Linked DNA regions of Arabidopsis thaliana. The protein of the gene in region 1 interacts with the protein of each later gene in a pairwise test. Each region holds a gene or a part of one and is shown on either strand. Other genes may lie near its edges.

The links. Proteins that work in one complex are often made in the same cells at the same time.
Region 2: the proteins of RMA1 (region 1) and RBL15 interact in a two-hybrid assay, tested with the Arabidopsis thaliana proteins (one large-scale study listed by BioGRID).

The regions. Positions count from the first base shown.
Region 1 is NC_003075.7:1,555,122-1,562,732, forward strand, and holds RMA1 (RING membrane-anchor 1), read right to left. Parts: upstream 4,308-7,611; 5' UTR 4,132-4,307; exon of another isoform or gene 3,548-4,131; 5' UTR 3,534-3,547; coding exon 2,784-3,533; 3' UTR 2,340-2,783; exon of another isoform or gene 2,247-2,339; 3' UTR 2,199-2,246; downstream 1-2,198. Other genes in the region: AT4G03500 (Ankyrin repeat family protein), read left to right, coding at 1-10, 101-639, 812-1,450; AT4G03505 (uncharacterized protein), read right to left, coding at 1,767-2,198; ATHM2 (Thioredoxin superfamily protein), read right to left, coding at 7,464-7,611. UniProt on the Arabidopsis thaliana protein: E3 ubiquitin-protein ligase that promotes the ubiquitination and proteasomal degradation of aquaporin PIP2-1. Forms a ubiquitin ligase complex in cooperation with the E2 enzymes UCB8/UCB10.
Region 2 is NC_003074.8:21,621,276-21,630,073, forward strand, and holds RBL15 (RHOMBOID-like protein 15), read right to left. Parts: upstream 5,427-8,798; 5' UTR 5,368-5,426; coding exon 5,326-5,367; exon of another isoform or gene 5,198-5,325; coding exon 5,147-5,197; exon of another isoform or gene 5,074-5,146; coding exon of another isoform or gene 5,050-5,073; intron 4,539-5,049; coding exon 4,373-4,538; intron 4,195-4,372; coding exon 3,891-4,194; intron 3,648-3,890; coding exon 3,615-3,647; intron 3,525-3,614; coding exon 3,433-3,524; intron 3,345-3,432; coding exon 3,271-3,344; intron 3,114-3,270; coding exon 3,019-3,113; intron 2,941-3,018; coding exon 2,871-2,940; intron 2,789-2,870; coding exon 2,619-2,788; intron 2,539-2,618; coding exon 2,496-2,538; intron 2,406-2,495; coding exon 2,346-2,405; intron 2,269-2,345; coding exon 2,194-2,268; intron 2,105-2,193; coding exon 2,099-2,104; 3' UTR 1,927-2,098; downstream 1-1,926. Other genes in the region: AT3G58450 (Adenine nucleotide alpha hydrolases-like superfamily protein), read left to right, coding at 757-1,024, 1,129-1,238, 1,455-1,573, 1,665-1,782; AT3G58470 (nucleic acid binding / methyltransferase), read right to left, coding at 5,795-5,946, 6,030-6,111, 6,595-6,753, 6,879-7,232; AT3G58480 (calmodulin-binding family protein), read left to right, coding at 8,066-8,069, 8,148-8,520, 8,605-8,719. UniProt on the Arabidopsis thaliana protein: Probable rhomboid-type serine protease that catalyzes intramembrane proteolysis. May function in senescence.

The DNA of each region.
Region 1 (7,611 bases):
AATAGGAAAGGTTTGTTGTTAACTTCTACTAAACATATTTACACTAAATTGTAAGTTCTTGTTCATGCTACGTTTAATCCCAAAATAATTTCTTCAATAGATATCCTTGATGCTTTACTTAGCAAAGATGCAAGTCTTATCAACTTGAGAGATGAAGGAAGGACTTCTCTTTCTTTTGGAGCATCCATAGGATATTATCAAGGGTTTTCCTATCTTTTCGACAAAAATCGAGACAAGGTTTATGTCAGCGATGATGATGGCTTATTTCCAACTCATATGGCGGCCAAGTATGGTCATGTTCAAATTCTTGAGGAAATTCTTAAGCATTGTCCAGAGGCAATTGAGTTGCTTGATAGAGACGGTCAAAATATTCTTCACCTTGCGGCAAAGTATGGGAAACTCAAAGTCATCAAGTTTATCCTAAGCTGTTGTAAGGATAAGAACAAGAAAAAGTTGATTAATGAACAAGATGTGAATGGAAACACACCGTTGCATCTAGCCACCATAAACTGGCACCCTAAAGTTGTGAGTATGTTTACTTGGGACCATAGAGTTGACCTGAAAAAAAGAAACTACATTGGTTTCACAGCTTTAGATGTTGCTGAGGAGAACATTGATTCGAGCTACATAGTTCACCAGGTAATGTGACAAGATGTCTCTCCCTATGAGGGCTGTCTCAACTTATTTGAAGGTTATAGTAAAACCATTAATCAATTTGAAAATTCTAGTTGCACATGCTAAAAGTCGTTTTTGCTCCTAATATTACTTTGTATAAACTTTTCCATAATAATCCTTATGTGTGTATATACAGAGATTGACTTGGATGGCTTTGATCAATGCTGGTGCACCAAAAAGTTCTACTCCAATTACAGAAAATCTTAGATCATTCAAGAAGCCAGATGGTGGAAAGTACAAAGATCGAGTCAATACTCTTATGTTGGTTGCAACTCTAGTAGCCACTATGACTTTCACTGCAGGATTCACATTACCTGGTGGGTACAACGACTCTTTTCCCCACTTGGGAATGGCCGTTTTGGCCAAGAGAACGGCTTTTCAAGTCTTTCTTGTATGCGACACATTGGCAATGTACTCTTCTATCATAACAATAGTTGCTCTCATTTGGGCACAACTCGGTGATCTTTCTATCATACTCAAAGCCTTCAACATAGCACTTCCATTTCTCGGACTTGCTCTTACATCAATGTCAATAGCATTTATGGCTGGCACGTATGTTGCGGTAAGCCATCTCCCCTTGCTTGGTTATTTCGTTTTGGGTATTGGAATCATCTTCCTATTGGTTTTGTTGCTGCTCCTTGTTCCTTATGTGTCTCCATATGCTCATGCCCAACCCCTTCTTCGACACATTTTCTACTATCCCTATTTCCTTAAGCTTTTGGCTGCTGGTGACAACAAAAATATTGTTGATGTGTACACTGCATCAGATGAATGAAGTTATAGCTTTCTGTTTTTCTAATAAAATTGTAACCATGTATATTTTATTCTGGATGTTAACGTGTTAATCGATAAATACCCATAGTTCAGGACTTAAGGTTACAGACGCTTCAAAGTCCAAACCATAGCGGCTAATTTAATATTTCTTTGCTATTGAAGGAAAAGAGTATTCCTCCATGGTCTAATGGCACCGATGGTCTTGTAAGCTTCATGGTTTTCAACCTATGTCTTTGAGAATATATAGATTCAACCTCCCCCTCTCTTCTCCATCAGATAGTGTAGCTGATTCAAATGTTATTATCCTAGCAAGAGCCTCAACAATAGTTGACTGACCCGCACGAGCCTCCACATGGATTGTAAGCTGAGCCTTTGAGTTTGGCTCCAATAGAAGACATGGAAAGAGTGAGACAATGCTCTTCACTCGTTCCAGACCCCATGTAGCAGCAAGACGAAGAATATAATCTCCTCGATCGTTCTTGAAACATGCCAGCAGGCAGCAGTGTTCCATGGCTTCTCAATTTCCCAAGCCATTCTTTGTCCCCATCACTCAGTGCGCTAAACATCTCTGGAATCATTTGAAAATATTCACCAGGAAGGTCAAAAATATCGGTAAACCTGAGATTGATAAAGAACTCTGCCACAGAGTCTCCTCCAGCTTGAAGGGAATCTTGTGAATTGAGTGAGCATAAGCTGTTGTTTATCAGATTCATAGGGAAGGATCTTCGTCTCAGTTGGTCACGAGACATGCACGTTTGTTGCCCTTTGTGCCTCAATTCTATCTAGATAAGCTCCATCTAAAGTTATAAATCATTACACAAATAGTTCAAAAAAGAAAAGACAGCTCGACTTCTGACTGAAACTTGACTAAACAAGGAAGAGAGGCTGACCGAGTGGAGAAGGATATCAGACAGACAAGAAGAGTTGCTGAAGCTTGACTAAAGAGAGACTCTCTTAATGCAGGCCCTTTTATCGACATACAATCTTTAATGAAACAAATAGAAAAACAATAATACAATAGTGCTGGAAGATTATGGAATGGATCACTATCAGTGATTCAGTACCATGTGTCTGGAAAGCCTAGTTCTTATCTTTCTACACATGGGCTGAACTATACAAACACATGCAGATCAGGCCTATTAGTTTGGCCTTTCATGTAGACAACACTATCCTCCAGACCAAATCTACACAAGATTTAACCCAACATAAACTCCTCATTCCTCAACATTAAGCAACTTTGATTTGTTTCCAACACAAATGTACATTTCTTTGACTATGTTTTCCTTACACCTGAAGAAACTGAACAGTAGCAGAACCAAGCTAGCTATGAAAACCTAAAACAAGAGAAGACACAGAACAACACAACACATAAAGAAGAAGAAGATTCTTCCCAGCGATTTATCTGCCTGCATTATCCGCCTTCTCATCCTCGGCCCGCTAGTCCCTGCGAGATTGTAAGTGTCCGGATACGCAAATCTATCCATCACTCGTGTTCCAAACAACCTCGTAGCTACCATTTCTCCAACCATCACCATCACCGGATCCAAAACAGCAGAGTATGATAAACTGTTCGAGCTCATCACCCCTGAGACAGGGTAGTAACCTTCCTGTGGGCTATTGAAATGAACCCGTTGTGATAACCGCAGATCAGTACTTGCATAAGGTGAATTCGGCATTTCAAGCCGATAAACCGGTCCTACGGGTCTTTTAGGCACACTGTTTTTACCTTCCTCCTGAGTAGTACAACGGCCTCTACCATACAAAGGAACCAAAGTAGAATGAGAAACTTTAGATTTACAAACAGGACACTGTCTATGTCTTTGGTATTCATCACTTGTTGAGAAGCTCTGTACATCAAGCCATTTGTGAATACAAGGCCAGCAAAAGAGGTGACCACAGAGAGTCACAACAGGTTCTTGCACCGAGTCTAAGCAAATATTGCAGTCAAAATTCGAATCATCAGTATCATCAGAAGGAACCGAGACTGTAATGGGTTCAGGTTTCTTGCTCTTGAAACAAAATGCACCTTCTCCATAGAGTTCTCCAAGTAAAGCAGCATCTTCAAAAGATTGATCTAAGGCCATCAGTGGTCAAAATCCTGAAAAAAAAATGTGTTTATTTCCCCAACATTAGATCCAGATTGAATGCAATATATTATAAGATTTACAAGTGAAACACACAAAGATAGCCTATTTTTATCCAGATGAGAATTAGGTTAATCAGAAAAAATGCAAAAGATTTTAAAAAATCCAGAAAATCTAAAACCCTATATTATCGAAGAACCCTAAAATTTGAAATTTTGGAAACAGATGAAATTAAAAACGACCCATAAAAACTTGGGATTGAAAGTTAGAATCTTCCGAAAACTCATAACCAATCATCCAAATTTTCCATTGATCATCGTCGGATTAAGTTTAGCTTACAAATTCGAGAAATTTATCGAAACCCAAGAAAGAGAATGATTAGAGAAAGACTTTAGCAGAAACAGAGAGACAACAAACTCATCACCTCAAGGAAAATTCAACACCAATTCAAATCTAAATGGTACAGAGAAAAAAATCAAAATCAACAGACCGAGAAATTTTGCCGGCGAATATAGATAGTCACAGAGATGAGAAAACACCTATACATACGCAAAGGCACGTATATAGGAGCTATGAAGAGAGATTTAGGGAGACGAACCAGACAATCGGCGCCGTTTGAGGGAAACCCAAAGCAACTGTGTCAATGGCTGATATGAGCAGAAGATAGAGAAAGGAGACTGTTTTGCTTTCGACGAGAGAGAGAAAAATCTGGTATTTGTAGCGGAGAGAAACAGTAATTCTAAAGAAGAAAGAGATTTCATTTATACACATTTGATTATCAGAGAAATACTATCCGGAAAAAAATAAGATATTATTATTAAGCCTCGAAGTTGAGAACGCAATGATATCTTCATGACGTGGCGATGTGAAAGATTCGTCAGAGTTTTGTATTTACTTATTTTAGAGAGCTTATCTCTTTTAACTTGTACTTCAAAGTTCAAAACAAAAAAAAAATGATACGCCTGAGGTTTATAGGCCAATTAAATATTTAATTAAATATTATACTCATATACGATTAATTTGATAATAGAAAAAAAAAAATCGAGTATCCAATATGAGATCCGTCATGGATTTAGCAGTAGAACGTTAGACAACATTCAAATGCAATCAAACAATGTTGGAAAACATATTTCCAAATTCACACTATCCATAAATATCCTAAATTTCGAATCCTTTGGTGCATATTTGACCCCAAATATTTACCTATATTTGACAAACAAAAATGTTTATTTAATTATACATTATCCTAAACAAAAGCTATTATCTCTCTTTGCTATACTTTTTTTTACATTAATCCTTTTTTTACATACTTAAGATTGTCAAAAACAAATTTACTTATTTAACTAAGATAAGATACGTTACTAATGGATTTAGAGTGAGTGAGTAGTATACGATACGTAATGGTAAACTCTATAAATAGAGATTAATTGTATCACAAAAACTATTATTGTTTCTTAACTAACTTAGTTGAACAATAAAGAAAACCCTTTATTATGTGTAACGGTCGTGTCACAAATGTCATACCACTTTCTTTAGGTGCATTGTATTCACCCACATTCATGTTTTCACATATAATTTTTAGAAAGAACACAAAATTGTAACCAAAATATAAATGCAGCATAATAACAAGTCAAAACTTTGTGAAGATTAACAAAATGCGATCGCCGCAGCTCTATCTAACCAACTCATATATGTCAATGTCAGTGCCGTGCCAAGGTCCATTGTGGCTTAACGCTAAACTAACGTTATAAAGTAGTAAATCTAAACTAATAAATTTATGTTAACGTAATAAACTAGTAAAACTAAACTAATAAAGTAAGAAACAATCGGTGATTGGGTGGAGTGAATAGAGAACAAAAGGACTAATGAGAGATCGAAGAAGATGGCTCTCTTCACGCTTTTGCCGAAGCTTCTTCACAAGTAACAACGATCAATCTCATAAAGAACCTCACGAGACACGCATTCTTTTGCTTTATGGGACTTCTTTTTTTTAGCATATTTTATTGATCTTGTAATTTACGATTATTAATTAGAAGCCGAATCTTGAGATCAAAAAAATAAAAGATAAAATCAATTTTTAGTTTATGGGTTTGGTCGGACTAATGCTCCTGAGTCCTGACGCGTGGGCGTGGATCATTTCCATTTTCACATTTTCGAAAAATAATTTGTGTCTTTGGTTTCTCCTTATGAACATGCAATATTCATCAGTAATATACATGTTGACAAAAAATAATAATACGTTGCCACATTCTGTGTTACAAACATTCCATTCTAGTCAAACTAGATAACCAGAAGATCATCATCAACTTCATGTTTCTAATTTTGTTTTAGGATGTCTATCAATATATTTGTAATTATGTATTACTATACGCTATTTGTTTCTTAAAGATTGAAATTAGCGCATTTATCGTGTAACTTTCAAGTTTCATAGGGGAACAATGATATTTTAAGTAAAGACTTTAAGAGATTCATATTAATTAATTATTACTAAGATTTAAGAATATAATAAAGCTTCAAGTATTTTCATCTTTATTCTAACAAAATTGACTATCATAGCAATTATATCAGGATCGTAGAACATGAATAAAACATAACTATCGTTTTATTGTTTTATCATTTATCTAATCAAGCTGCAGCATGTTTGGTAGGAGAATATGGCCGACACTCATGAAGGTCAAATGATTAAAACATTGTCCGCTTGTTTATTTTAAAACATTAAGAACCTCAAGTGGGGGTTAGGTTTCACGTACGAAGCTGTCCGATATTGACTTGCCTTTGTTTCGATATTTCACACTTGTTCTAATTTTGATCATTATGCTCATGTTCCATTTATGTACGTCGTCGTGACTTCTTAGGTCGCGAAAGTTGATACAATCAAAAGGACACGAGAAGACCATTTACAAAGTCCAAATCATAATATTATAATGAAAGTTGTTTGATACAAACAAAAGTCACGAAAATGCATTTATAAAAGTCCAACTGATCTATTATTATAAAACCGGATTGCATCTTTCTTTTGACCTTATCTTCAGCCTAAATATATAATTCTCAAACCAAGGACGGCAACCAAAAAAAAAAAAAAAAGACATTACCAATAGAGAGGTTTCATCAGATTTAACACTTTCGTTCAGACCTAATATATTAGAATATTTTCTTGGCAATCTAAAACTAAAACTTTATGAACTAATCATATAATTTATCTTCTTGATATTTCTGATTTATATTGTCCAAACTAAATAACTTGGTTTTGGTCGAACTTTAGTCATAGACCGGATCAACAACTCTAAAACCTCAAAAGCTTGTCGGGAACTGTGGGATCAGTCCAAAAATAACTCAATTCTTTCGGCTATTATTCATTTTGTCCTAATTGACATATCCTTATCCACAAATTGGGTACACATAAACTATGGTGGATGAATTTCTTTGCTTATGCAAAAATAAGGAGATATTTCGAACGTATTTATTCTCTTTTGCTCGTGGTCGATAAAGACCTTTTTCAGCTGAATACGTATATTCTTTCTTTAGATTAGGACATGTATGAACCTTTAGCCCCTTTTGCATACATGTGCTCATTCATTAGAGTGTCGCATAATATCTTTTAATACGAGGAGTTTTAGAATAAGTAACAAACCTTAGCGTGTGTTCATCAAAAAACTTGCAGAACCAAACAATCTTAAGATCTCTCTCATGACCAAAAAAAGATTGGTGGAATCATTTTAATGTGGTTCCATTAGTCTAGTCCAAGATTGTTCTTTGATACCTTTAGTTCCGCATCTCAAAACATCTTCAAACCAGTAAAAATGACATAAGACATGACATCATATTATTTATCCAGGTCTAGATGTTCAGTGATAATGAGTTACAGAGATAATGAGAACAAGAACGAGAGACAGAGAGATACGAGATCTTACAGACTCCACAAGTGATATTTCATGGCAAGAACTTGTCGAGGCTAGATGTGAGTGTGGTTTTGGGCACTGCACCTATGATTGTATCCTTCTTCTCGCCACCGACAAAGATCATGATCGTTGGGATGCTTCTAACTCCGTACTGGCCGGGAGTATTAGGAGATTCATCA
Region 2 (8,798 bases), on another chromosome or scaffold:
CTAATTCGTAAACAAGTAACGTGCTTTGAAATCCAGTGTGGTAGGGTTTGTGCTGGTTATATAAACTTATAAGAAAGGAAAAATAATAAGCTTTCCATATTTCACAGACCCGAGATAAACCAAACCATACCTGATCCAAAATAAAAATTGATTCAAACTAAACCGAACTAGGTTATTTCCAAAATAAGTTTGTTACGGTAATTGAACCAAACTTGTTGTTATCCGAAACTTTGATAGACCGACCATCTAGTCAATATATACTTACCACAAGAGGACCTGTTCTTTTGAAACCATTGTGGAAAATAAGATATCAGAACACCAAATATGACTTAGAACACTCAGCAAACAAGATCATTGAAAGACATAGAGATTCTAGAGGCTGACAACTCTGCCTTCTCAAAACTTGATTTAAGCTAATTCAAACCGAATTTAAATCGGTTCGTTTTGGGTTTATCTTTTTCTGAGCAGAACGAAACCGTAAAATTGAACCAAACTCGATTCTAAACCAAAAGCCTTTTCTGGATATTCAAAATAAACAGTTGTCTATGTTGAAAGAAAGACACGTGTCTATGACACAGGTGACGTGTCAATCCAGTATCCATCTTAAACATCTGTTAACACTCTTCATCTTCCACCTACTCAATCACACACTAGCATTACGTAACGTATGGTACGATCTAAATTATTATACATATCAAAAAGTGGCTGGAGCCGAACAAAAAAAACATACGATAGAGAAAACGTACGGAGTAAAAAATGGAGACTTACGTTGATGCGATTGGAGAGGACACGGCAGCCACAACAACGACGGCGGAGACGGCTGCAAATAAGAACAAGAAGAAGTTGAAAGTGATGGTTGCGATTGATGAGAGCAAGAACAGCTTCGATGCGTTGGAATGGGCTGTGGATCATCTCAGAGTTGTTATTAGTGCCGAACCGGAAACCGGTCAAGAAGGCGGTTTACTTACGTTGCTTCATGTTCACCCAACGTACCTTCAATATATCTATCCTTCTGGTGGAACTGGTGAAGAAAAAAACGCTTCTCTCTTTCTTTTATTCTCTATGCGTATATATATATTATATGGGATGTGACTGTATACAATATTGAGTGAGTTTGGAAATTCTTAGCTTCGGCGGTGTATGCGACAGATTCAGTGCCCGAACCAATGAGGAAAGCACGAGAAGAGAGTACGACAAACTTATTCACACGGGCATTGGAGATATGCCGAGGCAAAATGGTGCGCTATATGTGTGAAATAATTTCCTAAAAATTACCATCAAGACATGTCTAGTTTCAACTTTCAACATACTACAAGTTTGGAAAAAATTTCAAAAATACAATAAGTTTAGGGTCTATGAAGTTTACTTTCAGTTTAGGTTTATCAAGGTTTCATAAGAGTTTAGGTTTATCAGTGATCTTCTCTGTCTCTTGAGTTTATGGTTTTATGTTGTAGGTGAAGACAGAGACTATGATATTGGAAGGAGATCCTAAGGAGATGATATGCCAAGCCGTCGAGCAAACACATGTTGATCTTCTTGTTGTTGGTAGCCGTGGACTCGGCATGATCAAAAGGTACAAGTTTCATTTTTGGTCTAAGGTCTAACAACAAATTGAGATTTCTGGTTGTGACTATTCATTCATTCCTGGTGTTTGAGATATACAGGGCATTTTTAGGGAGTGTAAGTGACTACTGTGCCCAACATGCAAAATGTCCAATTCTCATTGTGCGACCGCCTAGAGAAACCTCAACTAGTAACACGAAGGAACACAAGAGCAAGTGAGGAAGGAAACCATGTTATAATAGCTTCTGTTTCATTCCGTTTGTACTCCGTAGAGAAGAAAAAAAAGTGTGCCGCCAATAAACAAGTTTACTTTTGCAAAGTAAAGTTCTACGTAGAGAGATTTTGCAAAAAAAGAAAATTTCAACTGATCTTTCGTTTGTATTAGATTCTAAACCGGAAAATCGGTTTGATCGTCTGGTTAAAGAACCTCCTTAAAGAAAACAGACGCTATACAGTTTCTAAATGCAAGTAAAAGACAGAATGAGAAACAAACGTTACAATACAAGCCAAAACAGTACTTTGCGAGTTGTTGGTGTTAAGCCTGCAAGTTTGATCACAGTGGTTTCGTTGTTAGTAGTGCCTAAACTCTAAAAATGAGTTAATAGAACTCTAGTTCGGAAAAGTTTATACCTGTTGGCTCATTAGGATCTCCACTGCTACGGTGAGATCATCGTCGGCAGCAGCAAGCGCCACTTCCACTTGTGTCTGAAGAAAATCCAGAGACTTTAAGCCATCTATTTACTATTGTTTTAGTTAACGTTGGTATGAAGCAAGAAACGTACCCTGTCAAAGCCCATGGCTACGAGTTTCTGGATTTGTTCTTCGGAAGCAGCAACACGACCCTGTGTTTTAACAGCTCAATAAGAGAAAAGCTTCTAGAAGCTGTACAAGGGTCTGGGTCTGAGCCGAATATCTTAGAGAAGAAAAGTAACCTGGGATTGGGGCAGGACTGCTGCATTAGCTATTGGCGCTTGTCTACACACGGTGAGACATGAGGGTGAGGTTGAAGAATGGCGTAATAAGCTGATAAATCATAAGCTGAAGAAATCAAATACCTTGAATCTGCCACGGTGTTGACAGTTGCATCAGAAAGGCGGTCTGGAGAGCTGCTATCTTCCAGCAGTCTAGCATGGAGGTTTGGGTCTGTTTCTCCAGCTGGAGCAGTAGGATCTCGGGCAGTGCTAAGAGTTCTACCTCTCCCCGGAAATCTACTGTCCTCAGAAGACTGCATGTGAAGTAATATGGTTAGATGTGAATGCATCCACCATGGTAAAGAAAAGAAACTAACAAGATTAGCATGAACGTACCTGATTAGATGCTTCCCTCTGTGGCAACCATGAAGACAAGGATCTCCAAGCATTTCCTGTAGAGAAACCACTGGTCAAAGAAAAAATGTCGTTAGGATATTCTCTGGGCAAACAGTCCAGTTTTTCATATGTTCTTAGGAAACCACACCTGGATGTTGTGTTTTGTGCAGAATAAGTGGGAATATAGCTGGAAGGATTCCCGCCAGTACACATAATGAACTTGGGTCGCCTAATGAAGCTAGACTGGAAGAGGACATAGAAACTGGATGAGTTACGATTAACTCAGAGAGCAACATCAAGAAGCCAGATCTGCATGAGTTTTAAATCCTCGATGGCCTCTCAATTAACAAAGAAAAGGAAACATCAAGAAGCCAGATCTTCTTAAGTACTTAGTACTTACCATCCAGGAGGCTGACTCAATGGTGGTAAAAAATGAAGAGCCAGGCATCAAGAAATTGAAGAGGCCATAAGAATCTGAAATCCAAAGCGACTAACAAATTAGCTCCCCATGAAAATGCAGGTTTAGAAAGAAGATGACAATGAAAAAGGTCAATAATCATACATGAAAATCCAGACAGGATGCCGCATAGATGCCCAAGCAGTGAAACATTTGTCATGAGAAGCTGGAATACTATTAGTAAGATCCACGGATACCTACACATGGATACAAACTTTTACATCATATGAGCAACAAGAAATGCAGGTGGGCATTAAGATGCCAACAAGCAAGACAATGGAGCTTACAGTTTAGCGGGAACGTTGAAGAGACCAAACACACTGCACAGAGAAATAAAGTAGCAAATGAAGAAATATGAGATGCTTCATGAATACAAAGAGTTGGCAAAAAATAGCCCACATTCAGAGGACATTAAACGCATATCTTATTAATATGTGTACAGACATGTGTAGCATTAACATGTTTGGAGAGAATGTATCTGAATTCTAACAAGAAGCTCATATTTACTTGCACTTTGATCTTCCAGAGTCTAAATCATTTAAGTAGCCCTTGAAAATTCTTACCTTCTAGAGGTAACTCCACTGAGACTTGTCTCTATGACAATCATAGAAAACAAGATTCCAGAAAATCCAATGGCGCATTCATTCATGAGATGATCATATTGGTAGAAGGGATTATATCCCGCCAAGGATGCTATAAGAAGATGCAATACGGCATTGGTCGTTGCCAGCAAAACTGTTAGGTAAAGCAAACGGACAGATCCCATGATTCTCTCCAGCTCAGAGCCCATAGGAACCAATGCCATCATGTTGAACAGAACATGAAGCAGTGATCCATGGAAAATAATGGCTGTATAAAACCTATAAACTGCACAGATAACGAGAAACGAGTGAACAAGAGGAAACAAAAAAAATCAGGACAGCTCAGGCATCTGAATTTAAAATTACCAGTTTGCAAGACGAAATAACTTTGGAAATGTAAGTTTTAGTGCCAATAGGAATATCTTCTACATGACATGCAAGCCTCAATAAATATGAGAACATACCTTGGAACCTCGATATGATTGCCGAGGGTAAGAAGCATACTTCATAAAAAGTGTCATATCCAGTTAAGAGGCATATCAGGTAAATGACCCCACAAACTACCACCACCGATGACGTGAGGAAAGGTATGGCATTCCACCACTGTCCAACTCGAGTTTGAACCCCAGCCTATGAGAAAATAAAGAATACATAACTAACCAGAAACAAGACCTTTACCAGTTTATAGGCTTATATCTAAACATTGTGCCGATTATCTACTTGGTTGGACATAGAAACCTTCTAATAATATTCAACCTTATGAATAATTTCAGAAATCTTCAAACAAAAGTATGATCCAGAGTCACAGTTGTATAATAGAATGGTGAAATTGTATTATTATACCTAAAACTTGAAGAACTAATGAAACAACACAAACAGAGGCTGCTATAACCTATTTTATGAAGAGAATGTTTCTACTTTCTACAACGAACGATTGGCCATGAAACTGAAGTTATGCCGAATTGAACTGCTAATTAGTTAACTCTACCGAATTAAGAGACGGTCGTACTGATTTCTGCTATCAGCCATAGCTCGTTCTCACTAGGAGTTTCTCGGTAATTAAACAAGCTAAAACCTCAACAATTTCTGACTAAGATCAAGGAATATAAGCAATCAGAGCAGAAAATTGAACAGATCTCACCTCGGTAACAATGTTCGGCCTCATAATCGAAGTCGCGAATCAGTCCTCTTCTCTGATGCTTGCGTGTGTTTGAATTTCAATGACCATGGAAGAAGACGAACAACTCTCGTTTCTCTCCCACCGTAAAAGACTCTTCTCGAGATCTTAACTTCTTCGCCCGGTTTAGCACTTTGATTCTGGTAAAGTTTGTAGAACCGGGTCGGACCAAAAACTTTTTATTCGCTGAGAGCAAACATCAATATTTCATCTCTTCCTCGCAAATTATAAAGTTGCAACGGATTGAATAATTTTTTGTGATGAGCTAATTCCGTATGTCATGTTGATTCATGATGCAATAAATCATTTTGGTAAATATGTTGAGATTTTGATAATAATGTAAAAGTATATCAGACTTGAGATCTGCGGTTGCAACAAGATACAGAGAACGATTGAACAAAGTGAGGTCACCAAGAGAACATTGATGAAAAATATCCAACACACATGAGCCGATGAGTGTTCCCTGCCACAAATGTTCCTCCGCTGCTAGAGGATAAGGGCTTGAAATGCCAGACACCTGAGATTGGTTAAGGCGCATCGTCATAAGAAATTAACAGCAACTACATGAACAGCAAAAGGGGATGACGTGAACGCGTGAGATGGATTTAAGCACATTGCTTTTTGTGATCAGAAGGGTAAAAGAACAATCACTGGTTTACTCAAGAACAGTCAAAAGACTTTAGAGAAGCAACTTACAAGCAAGTCACAACTAGCTGTCTTCTTCCAAGCCTCCTAATCTGGTACCTGGATCATAACTTATAAACAGTCGGAACTCGTTTCCGAGTTTGCTAGAGTGATGAGGCTTAAACACACAAGGGCGAACACCCAATAGCTCAGCTGCATGTTCTCTTTGCACCTCTCCTGCAAGACGTGAGATATCTCCTAGTTAATAAATCATAAGATCATATAAATTTGACTTGAGAAAACAAAAGTACCCATTGTACCTGTGAGAAGAAGCAACAATGAATCTACTGGGCTTGCGAGGAACAAAATTGTTTGACTAACTCTTTCCAGGCATTCCCTACTCTGCCAAGCATAAACGAATCAAGATCATTAACACGCTAACTAGAAGGTACTCAAAGACATTTATGCTTTGAAGATAGCAAGCAATATAGCACACAAAAACATCACAGATTAATGATATCCTCACAAGTCACAAATACTCCTACCCGGGAAATATTTCAAATGATAATCAAAACGCAGCAGAGAGCCACAAAGTATCCATCTTTAAGAAGTGACACTAAGCCATGACCATAACCAACTGATACTCCATTGTAAAGCTTACACTTTTTTTCTTTCATCTTGTCTGCTTTTGGACTTTCTATAATCTTTTAAAAGAAGATTAATTTATAAGCAATGCCTATCTAGCAGAAGCTTCTTGAATGTCAGAAGTTCAGAGCAGATTACACATCAGTCTCTAAACCTATCTATCAAGGGGCAGCTAAAAGATTTCCAAAATTCCCATGAAAGAACAGCATCGGAAAAGTTAAGAACTTGAAGAAACTTTACCAAGTAGGGAGGATCTGCAACGATTATATGGAAGCAATGTTTCAGCTGAAGCGGCAGATCTTCTGGTTCGTTGTAATCATAGAAAGTGAACTCTTTTCCATATCTCTCGAATCTCATATCGTACTCCAGCAATTGCACCTGAAGACTAGGATCTCTTTTCTGACTCAGCACAAATCAAAACCCGTCGCACAGAAATTTAGCATCAACGACAACAAAAGTATCGATTTTTAGCAAAACGGATTCGATACAAATTAAGGGTACTGAACAAAACTGATTAATAGTACCTTGAGATAAACGTAGAGAGTAGGGCAAGCAATGCAAGCGACTCTGCAGCCTGGAATTCTTTGAGAGAGAGTGACCACTTCATCTGCTACAGTCTCTGCAGTTTCAGGTTCGTACCAGAACTGGCTGAGTCTCCAATCCTCCGTAACCAGCTCCACTTTATCGGATTCTTCTCCTCCGGCGACGGAAGACGCCGGTGGCGTGCTCGCAACAGTCTTGTTCTGGTCTGCTAGAAATTCCCGAAGCGCCGCCAAAGCTTGAGAACTCAACACTAGTGGATCGTCATCTTCTACATCTCCGTCTCGTGGAGCTGAAACTTGACCGTTTAACTTCTGGAGCTCATCTTCTTTTTCCATTTAAGCTTCGGCGTCAGAATTCCGGGATAAAGTCAGATCCTTCGGAAAAGAGAGGACTTAACGGACACAGCGAATTAGAGAGGGCTAGGGCTTTGGTTCTGCTTGCGTTTATACAGAATTTTCATAAAAAGTCCCCAACTTTTGAATGTTTTCTATTGAAGACATGAATTGTTTTTAGTGTCTTTGATTGGTAAACTATTTACAGTATATATTGTTATGAATTAGAAAACAGTAGAAATCCCATAATTAGCTTCTGTGATTTTTTTTAATGGTACTTTAGGGAAATTATTAAAAATTGAAGATTTTCTTATGATTTTTGTTTGGGTCAAATTGATAATGTTTTATTTTCTGGGTTAACATAGGAAGTTTGAATTTTTATAGGGACCTAGTTTTAAAAGCGAAACATTGACGCCAAAATTAGGATAAACTGAGGAGGAGCCAACAAAAATAACAGAGCGATCGTGGAACAGAGGACTCTATTTTTCTCCCAGCCAATGGAACAGATTTGCATCATTGAGAGATTGAGATTTCATGAGAATCTCTTAAATCAGAAATGGCCGCCATTATCGTTCTCTCTCACGTTCCCATCTAATCCTAGACCCATTCAAAGCCTCCTCATTTCCTTTTTGGCTCTGTTGTTTTCTTCCATTAAAAGAATCTCTTCTCTGTTTCATTTCGTCTCATGGGTTTTGTTTGACTTCCAGGTTCTGCTTCTTCTTCTTCACCCTTTCTATGTTTTTGGTGATTCGATGTAATGTCTCAATGATGGAATTTGGATATTTGACATTTTCAGGACATAATAAGGAACTGCTTGAATCTGGTTTCAAGTGAAAATGGGTTAGTATTTGTGACAACTTCTATGAACGTTTATTTGAAGGCATTTTGATCTGAGGCATATTTGTATTGATTGTGCAGAGACAAAGACCATTCTTCGATCAATCAGTTTTAATGACATTGACTCGGATTCAACCATAACTGAATCACCTGAAGCTAGAAAGACGCTATACAACAGATCCCTTAGCGGTAAAGGGACACAACGATCAAGAATTTCTCCAGGAGATGTGGAGAACAATTTCTCTATTAAACCTTTAACTTTTATGAAAGAAGATGATAGATATAAAATGCGGATATGGAAACCTGTTTGCGAAAACGAACATGCAAAAGAATTTTTAGCCTTGTTATTAGGTGATGGAACATATCAAGCTGCATTAAAGTTACAGAAAGTTTATAGAAGTTTTCGAACCAGAAGAAGGCTAGCTGATTGTGCTGTAGTCGTTGAGCAAAGATGGTTCGTGGTGTTATGATTATTGGCATTGGTATATATAGAGAGGATAAAATTATCTGTTTAGTAGTAACTAAATGGAATTTGCAGGTGGAAGGTACTTGACTTTGCTGAACTTAAAAGAAGTTCTATATCGTTTTTTGAAATTGAGAAGCAAGAGACTGCAGTTTCACGCTGGTCTAGAGCAAGAACAAGAGCTGCTAAGGTAACATCAAGCCTATCAACTATGTTGGTTTGATGCACCCGTTTTCGTTCCCATTGCTCCAGTCTTTATATAATGATTT